Linked DNA regions of Macaca fascicularis. The protein of the gene in region 1 purifies or fractionates together with the protein of each later gene. This does not show direct contact. Links are inferred from orthologs where the notes say so. Each region holds a gene or a part of one and is shown on either strand. Other genes may lie near its edges.

Region 1 (8,341 bases):
GGCAACAGAGCACAACTCTGTCTCAAAAACAACAACAACAAAACTTTGTTTTCCGTGATAGCACAGAAATATTTTTCTGAAACCTGGATTTGGTCTTGTTTTGTTAATACCTTGCTTTAAACTTCTGGCTCCCTACTGCTTATGAGGAAAAGTCTGTTAGATTTTTATTTCCTCAGATACATATGAATTTTAAGCCTAAATTAGGCCTAGAATAGTCTTCCCTTCCTCTGCTAGCTGACCTCTTTTTTTAAATGTCAGATGGGTAATGGGCCAACATCTGTAACAAGGTTCGAGGGTGGCACATCTCACACATGCACATGAACACCCAGTCCTCACGTCCATGAACTACAAAAGGATCCAGCTGAACAGTTTTAAGGCTGATCAGAGACGCTGTCTCTGCAGTGTTGTTTTTTTTTCCCCCTTGAGACAGAGTCGCGCTCTGTTGCCCAGGCTGTAGTGCACAACCACCTCTGCCTCCCAGGTTCAAGCGAGTCTTCTGCCTCAGCCTCCCAATTAGCTGGGGTTATAGGCATCTGCCACCTTGCCTGGCTAATTTTGGTATTTTTAGTAGAGACAGGTTTCACCATGTTGGCCAGGCTGGTCTCCAACTCCTGACCTCGTGATCTGCCCGCCTTGGCCTCTCAAAGTGCTGGGATTACAGGCATGAGCCACAGCGCCCAGCCGTCTCTGCAGCCTTTCCAGCCCTTTCCTTCTCAGGTCACAACTAGTTGCTTTTCCCTTTATGTTCCTGTAGAGCTTTGCCTTCACCTCTAATGATAGCAGCTCCCCTTTATAGTGCGTTTTGTACATGCTGGATACTCTGCCAGGGGTCTGCTATACAAACTGTATCCTCCCAGCAATCCTAGAGGTAGGTACTACTCTCTCTATTTCACAAAGTAAAGAATAAGATTCAAGAAACCCCACTGAAGCCGGGCTCGGTGGCTCAAGCCTGTAATCCCAGCACTTTGGGAGGCCGAGACGGGTGGATCACGAGGTCAGGAGATCGAGAAACACCGTGAAACCCCGTCTCTACTAAAAAATACAAAAAACTAGCCGGGCGAGGTGGCGGGCGCCTGTAGTCCCAGCTACTCGGGAGGCTGAGGCAGGAGAATGGCGTGAACCTGGGAGGCGGAGCTTGCAGTGAGCTGAGATCCGGCCACTGCACTCCAGCCTGGGTGACAGAGCGAGACTCCGCCTCAAAAAAAAAAAAAAAGAAACCCCACTGAGATCCCTCGGTGGCAGGGCCTAAGGCTTGAACCCTCAACCTTAACACCTTCACTGCATATCACAGGAGTTTGCATTTGTTTCTGTAGTTGTGTGTTCTTTGTAGTCCACTCCTATCCCTCAATTCTTCTGGCCTGGAAGGACTTAGTATTTGAATTGGGAGGAGAGAGCAAGTTGTTTTTTACTCCATTATCCATTGATGTCTTTTTAAAAGTTGATCCATATTTGTTTTCTTGTCTCCATGATGCGTGACAGAGGTTCTCCGTATGTCTTGTTCTAGCTTTTGCTCTGCATGCCTGCAGGAATGTCTGAAGCCGAAGAAGCCTGTCTGTGGGGTGTGTCGCAGCGCTCTGGCACCTGGCGTCCGAGCCATGGAGCTCGAGCGGCAGATTGAGAGCACAGAGACTTCTTGCCATGGCTGCCGTAAGAATGTATGTGGAAGTAATGTGGAAGAGGCCGTGTCTTTCCATGATCAGATGGGGTAAAACGTACAGCTACCATGTTGTTTCTGAAGTTAGAGCATGACTAGGTCACTAACAGCACGCGTGCATGCCAGTTACCTGTGGTGATGGCTGGGCTGGTTTGTTTTCATAACCTACTGGGTTTTGTTTCTTTTTTTAAGAGTTGGTTAAGTATATATTTTAGCTTTGAAAGCCATAGAAATGAGTTATCCCAGTTTTTTCCTATAAAAGATCAATTTTGGCCGGGCATGGTGGGTCATGCCTGTAACCCCAGCTCTTTGGGAGTCCAAGACAAGAGCTTGAGGCTAGGAGTTAAGAGACCAGACTGGGCAACATAGTGAGACCTCATCTTTACAAAAAATAAAAGTAGCCGGATGTGGTGGTATGTACCTGTAGGCCCAGCTACTCAGCAGGCAGAGGCCGGAGGGATCACTTGAGCCCAGGAGTTTGGGATTACAGTGATCTATGATCATGCCACTGCACTCCAGCCTGGCTGACAGCAAGACCCTGTCTCTTAAAAAAAAGTCAATATGAAATCATTGGATTATAGTAACAATAGCTAACATTTGAAATGCTCTTGTATAATCAGAGTCAAGTATATTTATTTTCATACGTGTTATAACTGCTACTGGAAAGGAGAAATACTGTTGTCTTATTTTCCAAGAGATATTCACAGCCTTGTTGATTTTAGAATCATTAAAATTTTTTAAATTGCAGACCATACAAAAATACACAATAATGTAGGCTTGTTCCTCATTCCAGAGATTATTTTAAAATGGTTCAATTTAAGGCCTGGCAAGGTAGTTCATGCCTGTAATCCCAACATTTTGGGAGGCCGAGGTGGGTGGATTGCTTGAGTCCAGGAGTTCTGGACCAACCTGGATAACATGGTGAAACCTCAGCTCTACTGAAAATACAAAAAACTAGCAGGGCATGGTGGTGTGTGCCTGTAGTCTCAGCTATTCGGGAGGCTCAGGTGAGAGGATGGCTTGAGCCCAGGGGGCAGACATTGCAGTGAGCTGAGTTCTCACCACTGCACTCCAACCTGGGCGATAGAGCTGGACTTTTTTTTGTCTCAAGAAAAAAAAAGTGATTCAGTTTCGAAAGCTACATAACATTTTCTGCCCTTTGACAAATTTTTACCAAAAGTTGGTAAAAACTGTAGAATGTTTACCAACCCAGTTGTAGAATTTTTGCAAAATGAGATCACACTATAATATATATGTTTCTTCAACTTTTTTCACTTGTTTAAATGTACATTCATTCCCAACTTTTTTTTCACTTTCAGTTTTTTTTTCCTCTTACATATTGGACAGCCTTGCATGTCAGTTTCATTATTTTTAACACTTCGGTATGGATGCCCATAGTATGAATATACCTTACCATCTCCTTTTCAGGGTGATTTAGTATTAGCGATGCATAGTAGGACCATTTTAATGCTGAATAGGGCTATTTTCTATATCTTAATTGGGGGCTTCACTATTGAGGCTGGGCATGGTGGCTTATGCCTGTAATCCTATCACTTGGAGAGGCCAAGGTAAGAGAATCACTTGAGCCCAGGAGTTCGAAATCAGTCTGGGCAGCATAGTGGGACACTGTATATACCAAAACAAGCCAACAAACAAAACTAGCTGTGTGTAGTGGTGTCTGCATGTAGTCCCAGCTCCTTGGGAGGCTGAGGTGGGAAGATTGCTTGAGCCCAGGAGTTTGAGAGCAGCCTGGGGAATATAGTGGACCCAGTTTCTACAAAAAAAAAATTGGGGATTTCTCAGTTTGTAGCTTAAAGTCAAGTTCTTTAACTGGAGGTGAGACAATCATCATGGTAAGCTGGAGCTCCAATCTTGGAGCATTTTTCCCCCTTTGAAGTTTACTTTTAGAAACTCAAGATACTGAATTACAGTTTCCTACTGCCTTTTTTTTTTTTTTTTTTTTTTTGAGACGGAGTCTCACTCTGTCGCCCAGGCTGGAGTGCAGTGGCATGATCTCGGCTCACTGCAAACTCCGCCTGTTGGGTTCACACCATTCTCCTGCCTCAGCCTCTGGAGTAGCTGGGACTACAGGTGCCTGCCACCACGCGCAGATATATATATATGTATACATATATATGTATATATCTCTTGTTTTGTTTTGTTTTGTATTTTTAGTAGAGGCAGGGTTTCACCGTGTTAGCCAGGATGGTCTCGATCTCCTGACCTTGTGATCCGCCCACCTCGGCCTCCCAAAGTGCTGGGATTACAGGTGTCAGCCACTGCACCCGGTCTCTTCATCTTTATTTATGCATGCATAATGTGGTTTTTGGTTTGGTTTTGTTTTGTTTTTTGAGACGGAGTCTGACTTTGTTGCCCGGGCTGGAGTGCAATGGTGTGGTCTCGGCTCACTGCAACCTCTGCCTCCCTGGCTCAAACCATCCTCCCACCTCAGCCTCTCAAGTAGCTGGCACCACAGGCATGTGTCACCACGCCCACCTAATTTTTTTTGTATTTTTAGTAGAGACAGAGTTTTCATGTTGCCCATGCTGATCTGAAACTTGGGAGTGCAAAGTGATGGTCCACCTCAGCCTCCCTCAGGATTACAGGTGTGAGCCACCACGCTCCACCCATGATGGGCTTTTTGTTTGTTTTACTGTGTGCTTTTGCTTTTCTCCATTTTCAAGATTAGTTATTGTATGGTTGGCATGCCTCTAAAAATGTTTTTCTTTCCTCCCTCTTTTCTTCAATTCTTAAAACTTTCTTTCTTTTTAGAAAACCTGTAATGAAGCATTATTCTCTGGGTTTTCTTCTCTTTCTGTTTTACTATTGCACAGCCTAGATTTTATGTGAAAGGTTGGGCTGGGCATGGTAGCTCACACCTGTTAGCCCAGCACTTTGGGAGGCCAAGGCAGGCATATCACTTGAGGTCAGGAGTTCGAGACCATCCTGGCTAACACGGTGAAACTCCATCTCTACTAAAAATATGGAAATTAGCTGGGCATGATGGCACACGCCTGTAACCCCAGCTACTCAGGAGGCTGAGGTGGGAGAATCACTTGAACCCGGGAGGCGGAGGTTGCAGTGAGCCAAGATGGTGCCACTGCACTTCAGTCTGGACAACAGAGTGAGTGAGACTCCGTCTCAAAAAAAAAAAAGAATTTAGATTTTAAAGATTATTTCTCAGAGTCTGGTGATTGATACTTTAATCAGGGTTGGTGGCTTTTATACGTTTTACCTAAATGATCACTTTTCTCTGCTGCACATAACAGAACGTGGTTTTTGGTTTGCTATAAGGAGACTAGTTTAAATGCTACTATAGAAAACTTTTAACAACATCCTAGATTTGGAACTTGTCTGTGAGCACACAGCCTGTCATGAATAGGAGCAAACCTCTAGAAGAGTTATTTTAGAGTGGAAGCGGATATCCTGATTTAGTCAAATAAAATAGCAGCCTTGTTATTAATGGGAAATCTGCAATAATCAGGGTTTCAGCCCCATCAGCATAGTCAGGAGTCTGGTGAGATTATTTGCCAGGGTGGTGTAGGTCTAGTTTTCTTTGCGCCCTTGTTTGGGACTACATTTGGCCTGTTACAAGGTCCTCACTAACTTGTGGGCTCTGATTCTTCCTATTTGAGTTCTTCCTATCCAAGATCCGGTCCCACGTGGCTACTTGTTCCAAATACCAGAATTACATCATGGAAGGTGTGAAGGCCACCATTAAGGATGCATCTCTTCAGCCAAGGTAAATGACTCAGTCTCCCCTTAGGTGGAGGTCATCTCTTGCTATTAATACAAAGAGGTTGGACACCTTGCATGGTCAGGGGTTTAGTTGTATGAATTGTTATGCTGGCTAAAGCTGATACAAGTATTTTGGGAGGAGTATGCAAGGGAGGACTCTGGTGTTCACTTCAGATGTTAGCTGAGCTATTCTTTTTTTCTTTTTTGAGATGGAGTCTCGCTCTGTTGTCTGGGCTGGAGTGCAGTCGCGCAATCTCAGCTCACTGCAATCTCTGCCTCCCGGGTTCAAGAGATTCTCCTGCCTCAGTCTCCCGAGTAGCTGGGATTACAGGCACCTGCCAGTAATCCTGACTAAATTTTATATTTTTTAGTAGAGACAGGGTTTCGCCATGTTGGCCAGGCTAGTCTTGAACTCCTGACCTCAGGTGATCCTCCTGCCTTGGCCTATTGGGATTACAGGTGTGAATCACCATGTCCGGCTAGCTGAGCTGTTGTCTTCAGAACACTTGATCTGAGTCTAAAGTGATCATCAGCGTCCTTGTCGTTACACATTCGGTGAGCTTTGCTCCTTTTGGGAGTGTACTGTGGTTGAAGTTTAATGGAAAGGTACTCACAGAAAAATGTTCTTTTTTCCTGTCTTTCACCTTCCAGGAATGTTCCAAACCGTTACACCTTTCCTTGTCCTTACTGTCCTGAGAAGAACTTTGATCAGGAAGGACTTGTGGAACACTGCAAATTATTCCATAGCACGGATACCAAATCTGTGGTAAGAGTAACCTTTTTTTTTTTCTCTTAAACTTTATTATGGGAAAGGATCAAGCTTGGAGAAAAATGATGGGATTAGTAAAATGAACTCCTGTGTGCCCTACACCTAGATTCACAGATTGTTAACATTTTACCATATTTGCTTAACCATGCTCTATAATACACACTTTTTGCTGACCACTTGGGAATAAGCTACAGATACCATGACTTTTTTGCACCCTGAATAGTTTGCACCCTGATACAGTAGTGTGTATGTCTTAAGAACAAGAGTGTTTTCCTGGAAAATTATATTTTTGTGTGTATAATCATATTCAAGAAATTTAACATTGATACAATCTAATATCTAACATAAAATTCATGTTTTAATTTTAACAATGGTAATGTCCTTCATAGCAATTTTCCCCTCCCCCCAAAGCAGAGGCAGGGATGGTACATGAGTTCTCTGGGTGCTACATTAAGTCATGTGATGTCTATTGTTGCTAACATTAACTTGGATCCCTTGGTATCCACCAAATTTCTCCATGAAGCTTTTGGAAGTAACTTCTTCGTATTTGTGGGGAAAGAGGATTTAGGTGAAATTATTAGGAAAAGGCTTATCAATCCTTGGACATTTTACTCAGATATCACTGACTGGCATGTGTAGTCTCCTTTTAAAAAAAAAAAAAAAAAACATAGGCCGGGCACGGTGGCTCACACTTGTAATCCCAGCACTTTGGGAGGCCAAGGCGGGTGGATCACTTGAGGTCAGGAGTTCCAGATCAGCCTGGCTAACATAGTGAAACCCCATCTCTACTAAAAATACAAAAATTAGCCAGGCATGGTGGTACGCGCCTTTAATCCCAGCTACTTGGGAGGCTGAGGCATGAGAATTGCTTGAACCCGGGAGGCAGAGGTTGCAGTGAACTGAGATCATGCCACTGCACTCCAGCCTGGGCAACAGAACGAAACTCCCAAAAAAAAAAAAAAAAAAAAGTATTTGTTCCATCTCAGCAATGCGTTACCTTTCTCTCAATGTGATTGACAGACTAGGTCTTTTTTTATAGTTAGGTGTATACTTCCTCTATAGTTTTGTTTTAATTTTTCCATTTATCTCATACTGCTTCTCTTGAACTGCATACTCTGTTGTATGGGCAGCCTTCAGCTCCATTGCTGTAAACAGTGGTGCAGAGATTTTAGAATTTTAATGAGCTTTTGTGAGAGTACTAGGGCAGCTATCAATGCTCATCTTAAGATAGAACTGGCCATTTTGAGAAACATATCTTTGCCTGTATTTATGTATGTTTATAAGCTAAATTCTTAGATACAGATTGACTTGGTTAAATGTTACTTGCACTCATAATTTTGTTGGATACTATTATTGCTGAACTTTTCTGGTATGGCAGCCTAATTTTCTGTCTTTTTGCCCTCCTTTGGCTTCTGAAATCCCTCTGATTATGTTGTCTATGTTGAGGCTTTCTCTTCAGCCTTTGGCCCTCTGTTCTGTCTTCCTCTTCCTCTGCAAGTTCTTAACTCTGCTTTTCTCCCTTCCCTTTGGAAGCCATCTCCTTTTCAGTCTCTAGTCCCGTCCTATGTTCTAGCTCCCCAGCTACAGCTGCCTGTCCACCTCTTCCACTCAGTCTTCTACCATCCCAGATTTCTCTCATGTCAGTCCCCTTTATCACTGTATCCTCTTTGCTGTGGGGTAGGGTTGCACCTTTAAGTGGGGGCACTTAGGTCATCTCTCTCCCTGGCATGAGTTTTCCATGCTCACTGGTCTGGTCATTTGCATGTGTTGACAGTAACCGCCACCTTCTGGCCTTTTCTCCGTGCTGCTACCTCTTCTGGAGCAGCATTTTTTTTTTTTTGAGACAGAGTCTCACTCTGTTACCCAGGCTGGAGGCTGGAGTGCAGTGGCACAATCTCGGCTCACTGCAACCTCCACTTCCAGGGTTCAAGCAATTCTCATGCCTCAGCCTCCCAAGCAGCTGGGACTACAGGTGTGTGCCACCATGCCCAGCTAATTTTTGTAAGTTTAGTAGAGAAAGTGTTTCACCATGTTGGCCAGGCTGGTCTCAAACTCCTGACCTCAGGTGATCTACCGCTTTTGGCCTCCCAAAGTGCTGGTATTACAGGTATGAGCCACTGTGCCTGGCCTGGAGCACTCTATCTTGTTCTCTTTGCCTTTCCAAATACCCAATCTTCAAA
Region 2 (8,341 bases), on another chromosome or scaffold:
CCCATGTTCCAGACCCTGCCACCTCTTGGCACCAAACATCTTGAGAGTCACAATCATTTCGACCCCTTCCCATCACAACGTCCGCCCTTTCTGCACCGGCAGGAACAGCTCCCTCCCCGTCATCAGGCAATCTGGCCACATGGCTCCCACCCTCCCTAGCATTGCTGGTCCAAGGAGTTGCTCTTCCTAACCTGCTTTCTCCCAGGTCACCCAGTCATGGCTGCCGCAGTCTTCACAGCTCAGTGGACTTTTCCAGAGCATTTGAGCACCTCCCACCAGATCCCTCTGGCCGCTCTCCCCATCTACACCCTCAATGAACCAGTTCTGCTCCCCGAATCTCCCCAGCTCCCAGATGATTCAGAAGCATAGGATCAGTTCACTTACATGTGAGCAACAGACGTGATTTAATGGTTTTCTCTGACACCTCTTTGCCCCCTGCCCAACTACACCATAGCAGGACCAATGACTTAATGAAAAAGCAGTGAGTGAAATGGCAGGATCAGTCAGGCTGCGAGGGAAATTTGGCGGGGTTCTGAAAATCATACCACGGATAACCACGTGGCTGACCCAGCTGCTGGGTGAAGCTGCGTTCTTGCTGTTTCTCTGGTCACTTACCTTGGATCTCCTCCAGCTTGACCGTACTTGCCTGTGTTAAGGTTTCAGATCACTCCAAAGATGGAAAAATGGTTCATACTCACCTTGGACCTGAGAAATACAGACAAGCCAACTGAAGCCCAAGCAGCAAGCTGCCAGCAGACACATGTCCTCGGGAAGGTGGAGGCTGGGCAAAAAGCAGGTAGTGAGGACCGAGCAGGGAGGGCTGCCAGCCCCTCTGCCAACAGGACCAGAACCAGCCAATGCCCAGAAGGGAGGCTCCTGTAAACTGCCACATGTCGGGGACACACACAACACACTCTCCACATGCACAGCACATTGCTCAATGGTGAACCTGGGTCTTATGGGGCCTGAAACTTACCTACGAATTGGAGGAAAGAAAAAAAATACGTAATGTTTGCAAATTTTACCAAAACCTATGACCACGTGAGCACATTGCTAGGGCCCCTCCTAGGGCCTGGGGAGGGGCTCCAGCAAGTGAGGGGCCCTGAACCTTCAGCTTCATTGTCTTCATAATAAACCCACACATAGCTCACCAAGCCGTGACATCAGCTCTGTCACAGCCCCGATACGGTCTGAATGTTATGACCCCCAAAATTCCAATGTTGAAATCCTCACCCCTGAGGTGATGGTATTTAAAGTAGAGGTGATGAGACCACCAGGGCGGAGCCCTCATGAATGAGATTCAGTGCCTTATAAAAGAGGCCCTTACACCGTGTGGGGTTACAGTGAGAAGACTGAATCTATGAGGAAACAGGAGGTTGGACTTTCCAGACTCCAAACCTGGGAAATAAACGTCTGCTGTTTATGAGCCGCTCAGTCGATGGTGTTTTGTTACAGCAGCCCAAATGAACAAAGGCAATCCTGACTCTCAGAAAAACGCCTGGCACCCAGCAGGTGCTCAATCAATAGACGCAGACAAATGAGCTTCAGTCTTCATCCACTTTGGATAAATTTTCTTTTATTTCCATACTCTTTTGTGACATGTGTGGCACAGGTATTCGATCTCACGGGGATGTTTATTAAAACCCGCATTCAGAGGGTGTCCAGTGTGCTTAGGAAATGTGGGTTTGGGCACTCACAGGCCAAGTCTGGGGGTCCTCGGGGAAGCTACTCCTCCAGGTCACCTGCCAAGTGGATGTACTTCCTTCGGCAATGGGTGACCCTACCAGGACAAGGGGAACCAGCAGGGACTCGATGGCACCACATAGCAGCCACCTGTTCTGACAATGTGACACAGACCAACTAATGCCAGAGCCCAGGAGAAGCCACAGCAGAGCTGCCTGGGTTGGTGTCAGAGCAACAGGCGGAAGTGACTATGCCACCCCTGGGCTGTCCTCCACCAGTGGCTACTGTGTCATTCTGGTAAAACTATGATGCCATGAGACTCTGAAAAACCGAATCACTGCAGAGACAAACTCATAAAAATTAAAACCAATCCATAAAATTGTATCTAGAAACTCTGTCCCTGGTGCCAATAAGCAGCAAAGTCAACAAAGAGTAAAAACTAAAACTTCAACACATTATTAAAAAGCAAAAACTGGACTCAACTACAATCACTTCTGGTTAGTCCACTAGTGAGCCCAAAAGTGACTTAAAAGTAAAAATCATTATTAGCAATAGATTAATAATATAACTTCATTGAGAGGTCAACATTAAATGAATAGTTCATTAAAAGTTTTCTGTTTAAAAAGAAAAGGAAAGGCCCAAATTGCCATTTCAAGGCAGAGCAGGCGAAAGGCCTGGAACACTCTGGTGCACTCACTGTCGGCTGCTGAACAGGGAGCCCAAGGCCAGCAGGATGGAGGGCGTGACCGAGGGCTTGGAGGAGGTGGTGTACTGGATGAGATACTCCGGGTAGACCTGGTGTTTCTCAAAGATCACAAAGATGGATGGGTCAGACACGCTGTTCACGCAGCTATCATAGAAGGCGTTGCTCCGGCCCTCCTTGGCTGGGGGGCGGACAAAGGAGGCATTGCCCCTGACGAACTCGCCCACCAGCACCCGGGCCAGGAACATTGTGTGGGTCTGTGTGTCGGATTTGCTGTAGTGGTGGGAATACGCAGCATCTCGGGCAAAGTAGCTCCCTGAAATGACACACAAGGGTTCAGCTGGGTGCCTGGTGGAGGGGCCCGCAGCCAGGAAGGGTCAGCCCACTCCGGACAGCGTCCTGGTGATGTGCAAAACCAGGGGCCTCTACTCTTCCACCCTGCATCTCCCTCCCTCCCTCCCTCTGTGCCATGTCTCCACTCTCCCTCATGAAGTCACACGCATCAGTGACACCAACACCCTTCTGAGTGGCAGCATCTGAGGAGTTACTAAACTGAGAGCACAAACTCCTTTCAAGTTCCAGATCTGCCCCACAAAACCTAAAGGCCTCTGGACATGTCACTACTTAATCCCTAAAACCTCAGATTCCTCAGGCATAAAATGGGGCTGTTCAGCCCAACCTCACAGGGTTGTCATGGAAAACGAATGAGATCCCATATGTGGAAGCAGTCTGAAGACTCCGGCAGCCCAATGAATAGAATTATGAGCCTTGTCAAATGGAAACCTGAGTTGGAAGCTGTCACCTATACATTTGAATTCACAAGTCTACCACTGGCTGCTGTCCATCTTGACCCCACGCCATTGCTACCTCAGATGGGAACTGACTGATGGACCTGGAACATGGACTGCTGGGCAGAAAATGTTCTCGACTTGGTAAGCATAATGTGGTTACAGAAGATAATGTCCTGTTCTTGGGATGTGTTAAAGGGTGAAAGGAGACAATATACGCCACCTACCTGAAAATGGTTCAGAAAGAGAGAGAGGGAGAGAGAAAGAGAGAAGTGGCAACATGTTAAAACCAATGAATCCAGGTAAAATGTACCCAAAGAGTTTTTCTTTACTATTATTATTCCAATTTTCTTGAATTTGGAATTATTTCCAAAGAAATAACATTTTAAAACTTTCTTTGGCAAGTTTAAAAATAACTAAGAAGACAAGAAAACACTCAGATAACTCACAGGATAGCTAGAATACATGTTTACGTGAGTATCTCTGAGGGTTTCTGGTTTCTATTCTAAGGAAATCAATAGTAAAGGCACAGTCAGGGACTTGATCAGGGCTGGGAAGGTATCCCCTCTCCTCTTCCATCTCTGTCACCATCTTCCAGGGCCTCTGCTCCACAAGGAAGCAACACACCAGCCTAGGCAGGCCACCCTGCCCACGTCTGGGGTCAAGCTCCTGGTCATGCCCAGAGAAGCAAGAGCAAGGAGGTGGCTGGTAGCCATGCCCAGGTACGACCACACACAGAGTTTGAACCTGCTTATTGGCTCAGGCTGGTCCCCTCATGCCCTCTCGCAGTCTGTTCCTATGCAGGGGCGAAGCAACACGGGTTCTGCTGGTGGAGACCAATCATGACTTACCCTTGCCATAGGAAGTGCCATGAACACCACAGACCCGCCAGTCAAAGTTCTGCTGGCAAATGGCATCCACGAAAATGGCGCTGGTGCCATGGAACAGCTGCCGCTCGTCCACGGCCTTCCCTCCATTCTGCTTCTGCATCTGTCCTTTTTGCCTAGGATCACAGAAGAACGTGTGCAGCGGGAAGAGTGTGCCGGCCACCAAATACAGCCGGCCTGATACAAAACAACACATTTTTCCAAAATTCCAAAAGTGTCCTGAGACCAGGAGATGCAGGTCACAGGCTACCAAGACTAGGCCTGTGAGGCTCCAGCCACAAGCCAGGGTGTGGGAAAGAAGGGGGATCGTGGGAGCGGGGTGAAAACCCTCCCTCCACAGCTCCAGACTGCAGCGGCTCCCTGGACTCCAAAAGCAGAGCAGCCCTTGGAAAACGGGTACCATTTTCCCCAACCCCATCCCCACCTTGCTCCTGGATGGAGCTGAGCCCTGAGATGCTGTAGGAGAGTTTTGAGGCCCCGGTCAGTGGGTGCCCATCCTTCTCCTCTCTGTTCCCAGACTTCATCATTGTGCACAGAGTACAGATGACACTGCCCCAACCCCATGTGGGGACAGGTCAGCAAGACCCAGCCTGCCATGGTGACCTGTTGTAGGATTCCTCCCCACATAGACAAGTGAGTGGGCGTCCAAGGACAAACCAGTCCTCATGCATGAACCTAAGACCCCTGCTCTCCAGCCACAGCCTTGTGTTCCTGGGGCTAAGGGTGTGGTGGGCTGTACTGACCCATCCCACTGGTCTCCGGGAAGGCAGAATGGAGAAGTGAGAGTGCTGGCTTTGCCAGTGCTCATGAACAGGATCAGGTGGTACGCTCTGGGGAGCCTCGGTGCCCTCACCTCTACAGTGGGATGTGCTACCACACTGCCCTGGGGGAGCGGATGACGGACAGCAGACACACAGCTCCCAGCACACGGCAGCCCTGTCACTCTGCTTTTCCTGGAAACCCGGGCCACATGTGGCAATCAGCCAGCAGTGTGAAGGGACAAAGCCACCAGCCCACCAACAGCGAGCCCCAACGCACCACTGGTAGACTTCCCAGAGGGCCAGGTTCTGTACTCGCTCAATCTTCTGAACAAAGTAGAAAGGCAGCGTGCGGTTAAAGAGGTTCCAGACCTTCTGATACTCTTCCGAGGAAGAACTAAGGGTGATCTTCTGCAAGAGGTAAATGTTTTTAATGCATTATCGTCAACGTGCAGAATATAAATCAGTCCCTTCCCAAGGCTTCTTGTAAACATTAGAACTGCAGAAGCACAAATGCCCAGACAGCAGCAACCACACTCCCACCTCCCTGATGACATGGTCTCTCCAGGCACAGGAGACAATCAGTCCTCACGAAACTTCGTTGATAGGTTCTTGGAAACTGCAATTTTAAGTAAAACAACAAACTGCATGCCATAGGAACTTAACTCTTATGTCAGTTAGCATATGGGAAATTGGTTTCATCAGACAATATGTTGTTTCACTTTGAGTCAGTTTCCAAGAACCTACTGATGACGTTGAGGATTTACTATGTTTGCAATTGTAGTCACTTTGCTCCTTATCACTGTGAAACCAATCTAAAGGACAGACATGTAATGCTTAAGCCACCATCCTGGGTATCCCCTGGATGTCCCTGCTCTTCTATTTTTTGTCCCACACAGGCCAAAGACACAGGTTGGATTACATGGTCCAAGGACCACAGAGTTGTTGTCTAGACAAAAGTGTTGAACCCCTTCAGGTTCTCAGCACTTCTTGCCTGCACTGTTGGCATCTGTATGTGCCTTGTACAAGCTCAGTAAGTCCTCCCAGGACAGAGACCATCATGGTGTAAAGCTGAGTTGCACAGTGCTCCGCGGCCAGCCAGCCGGCAGACGTCAGCCCAGGTGCCTCACGCAGACAGGCACCATCAGATGTGAGTCTGCGTACTCTCCTGCACTCAGCACAGCTCCCACTGGTCAGAGCCCCTCAACAAGCTGCCGAACTCACTGTCCATTCTCCTGTCTGCTAGTCGTGAATGTCTTCCCTCCTGACAGTAACCCCCTCCAAATGTCCATCAGACTCAGGTCCTCCCCAGGCTTCTCTTCCTTCTCTCGCTTAGTAAAATTGGTATTTATTGGTTAAGCCCAGCCCAAAAGCTCCTTATTTCTGCCCTTTCTAGCAAATTTCACAGCTCATCCTCCTCCCTCCATAAGGCAACCCCTCCCCTCAGAGCCACAACCATCTCCTGGGCAGTGAAAAAACAAAACCCTCTGCAAAAAAAAAAAAACAAAAACAAAAAGCCCACATCTGTCACTGCCCTCCTGCCCCAATTAGCCCCAGCCTTACAGCTTCTTCAGTGTTGAGGAATAGCACAGTCTGTTCACACATACCCACCTCTACAGAACACGTTCCTGTTCAACCCCAGGCACACGTGTCCCCTACCTGAAAGCCTGGGTCTGGCAGGGCAGAGGAGTCCCAATAGTCTGGGATGCTCTTCGGGCCTGGAAACTTGGTATTGCTACAAAAATGTAAACAAAAACACGTAGACATTTTATTCTTACACAAAGCAAATCTACCATAGGTGGTCTCTGCTAGCCAATATCACCAGTCTTCAGTCTCAGCGTATCATATTTTAAGAGCAGGTAGAAGGCAAGGAAGAATGTTAACATAATACTCACAACATGAGAGCACTTTTATCTTTGCCTATGTAGCCAAACAGTCCTGAGAGATCTATTTCTCGCCTGTGTCCCAACTACCACACAAAAGGGACAAAAGGGATGGAGTATGTGGTTAAAACAGTACACACAGGGCCATAAACCTTTATCCACAATTCTGAAATTCTAAGAGCTCTAAAGACATTTTTTTAAGGCCTCAATGAGGTATAATTGACATTTAAAAACTGTTTTTATACAGCTCAGGAAAACCAGGAGAAAAAATGAAATAAAACATTTTTTAAAAAACCTAAGTGACATCAAAACTCATGTGGCAATAGAAATTTGACTGAAGTTAGTAAGAGGCCATTGTGGTCTGTATCTATCCTTCTTAAACTGACTATGCATATTCTTTACTGCAGAAATACTAATGTGCTAAAATATAAAGTGTCACGTGATACAAGCATCACATTATCTTTCTAAAAATAAATAAATAAATAAAAGCGGTTCAAAAGACATATGGCTCAAGGGTTCAGACACAAGGACTGTGAAACTATAATTACAAATCATTCCTATTAAATTTCAGAATACACTGTTCTTTCTAAATAGATCTACCTTCTGTTTCTGCTGGCATGAAACATATACCTTCATCCTGAGCCTCAAAGCACTCCCACAAATAACTTTCCTTGGAAAATGGCACAGTTCAAAAATAACTAAGCAAGGTCCTACCAGCAGCAAGAATCAGCCAAAAACAGACCCACAAAGACTTATGATGCTGAAATTATCAGACAGATTAAAAACAATTATTCCTCCTAGGTTTAAAGAAAAAAAAAAGACAAACTTTAAAAACATATGTAAAGAACAGAAAACTATAAAAAGACCTGGAAGATCTAAAAAAGAACCAAATAGAACTTACAGAAATTATAAGTACAATCCTTAATAATAAAAGTGCAGTGGACAGGCTTAACAGCAGATTAGACCAGCTGGAGGGAGAATCAGTAAGCTGAAAGATATGTGAAATGCAATTGTCCAGAATGTGACCCACAGCAACAAGGAAATGGAAAATGCAGGAAGGAAGTTGAGACATGGAGAACAGTGAGAACTGGAATATAATCAGAACCTCAGTGAAGCTCTAGGAGAGGAGAGAGAAGACAGTGGAGGCGATTTTCAAAGAGAACTGACGAGACGCACCAATCCGCAGCTTAAGAAGCGCGAAGAATCTCAGCCATGATAAATAAAAAGCACATACCTAGACACACTTTAGTGAGGATGCATAACTCCAAGACAAACAGAAGTTCTTAAAGGTAGCCAAAGGAAAAAAGAGTGATTACTGCCAAAGAAGCACCTGTTAGACCAACAGGCAATTTCTCAAAAGCAACAATGGAAGCCAGAATACAGCAGAGTGGTCATCACCAATGATCCGAGAGAAAATCCCTACAACCCGAAATTCTATACCCAGTGAAAATTTCCTTCAAGAATGAGAGCAAAATAAATACATACTGGCTGGGCGCGGTGGCCCACACCTGTAATCCCAGCACTTTGGGAGGCCAAGGTGGGCAGATCACTTGAGATCAGGAGTTCAAGACCAGCCTGACCAACATAATGAAACCCCATCTCCACTAAAAATATAAAAATTAGCCAGGCATGGTGGCGC

What was found.
Region 2: the proteins of RNF114 (region 1) and PARP12 purify together in Homo sapiens (affinity purification with mass spectrometry; 3 studies listed by BioGRID and IntAct, counting the BioPlex papers as one, with this or other methods). This does not show direct contact. The link is inferred for Macaca fascicularis from reciprocal best matches to the Homo sapiens genes RNF114 and PARP12.

The regions. Positions count from the first base shown.
Region 1 is NC_088384.1:106,024,487-106,032,827, forward strand, and holds part of RNF114 (E3 ubiquitin-protein ligase RNF114), read left to right. Parts: intron 1-252; exon of another isoform or gene 253-357; intron 358-1,504; coding exon 1,505-1,655; intron 1,656-5,289; coding exon 5,290-5,396; intron 5,397-6,043; coding exon 6,044-6,158; intron 6,159-8,341. UniProt on the Homo sapiens protein: E3 ubiquitin-protein ligase that promotes the ubiquitination of various substrates. In turn, participates in the regulation of many biological processes including cell cycle, apoptosis, osteoclastogenesis as well as innate or adaptive immunity.
Region 2 is NC_088377.1:181,706,657-181,714,997, forward strand, and holds the end of PARP12 (protein mono-ADP-ribosyltransferase PARP12), read right to left. Parts: intron 6,555-8,341; coding exon 6,479-6,554; intron 5,231-6,478; coding exon 5,100-5,230; intron 4,178-5,099; coding exon 4,026-4,177; intron 2,703-4,025; coding exon 2,377-2,702; 3' UTR 1,560-2,376; downstream 1-1,559. Other genes in the region: TBXAS1 (thromboxane-A synthase), read left to right, coding at 657-731.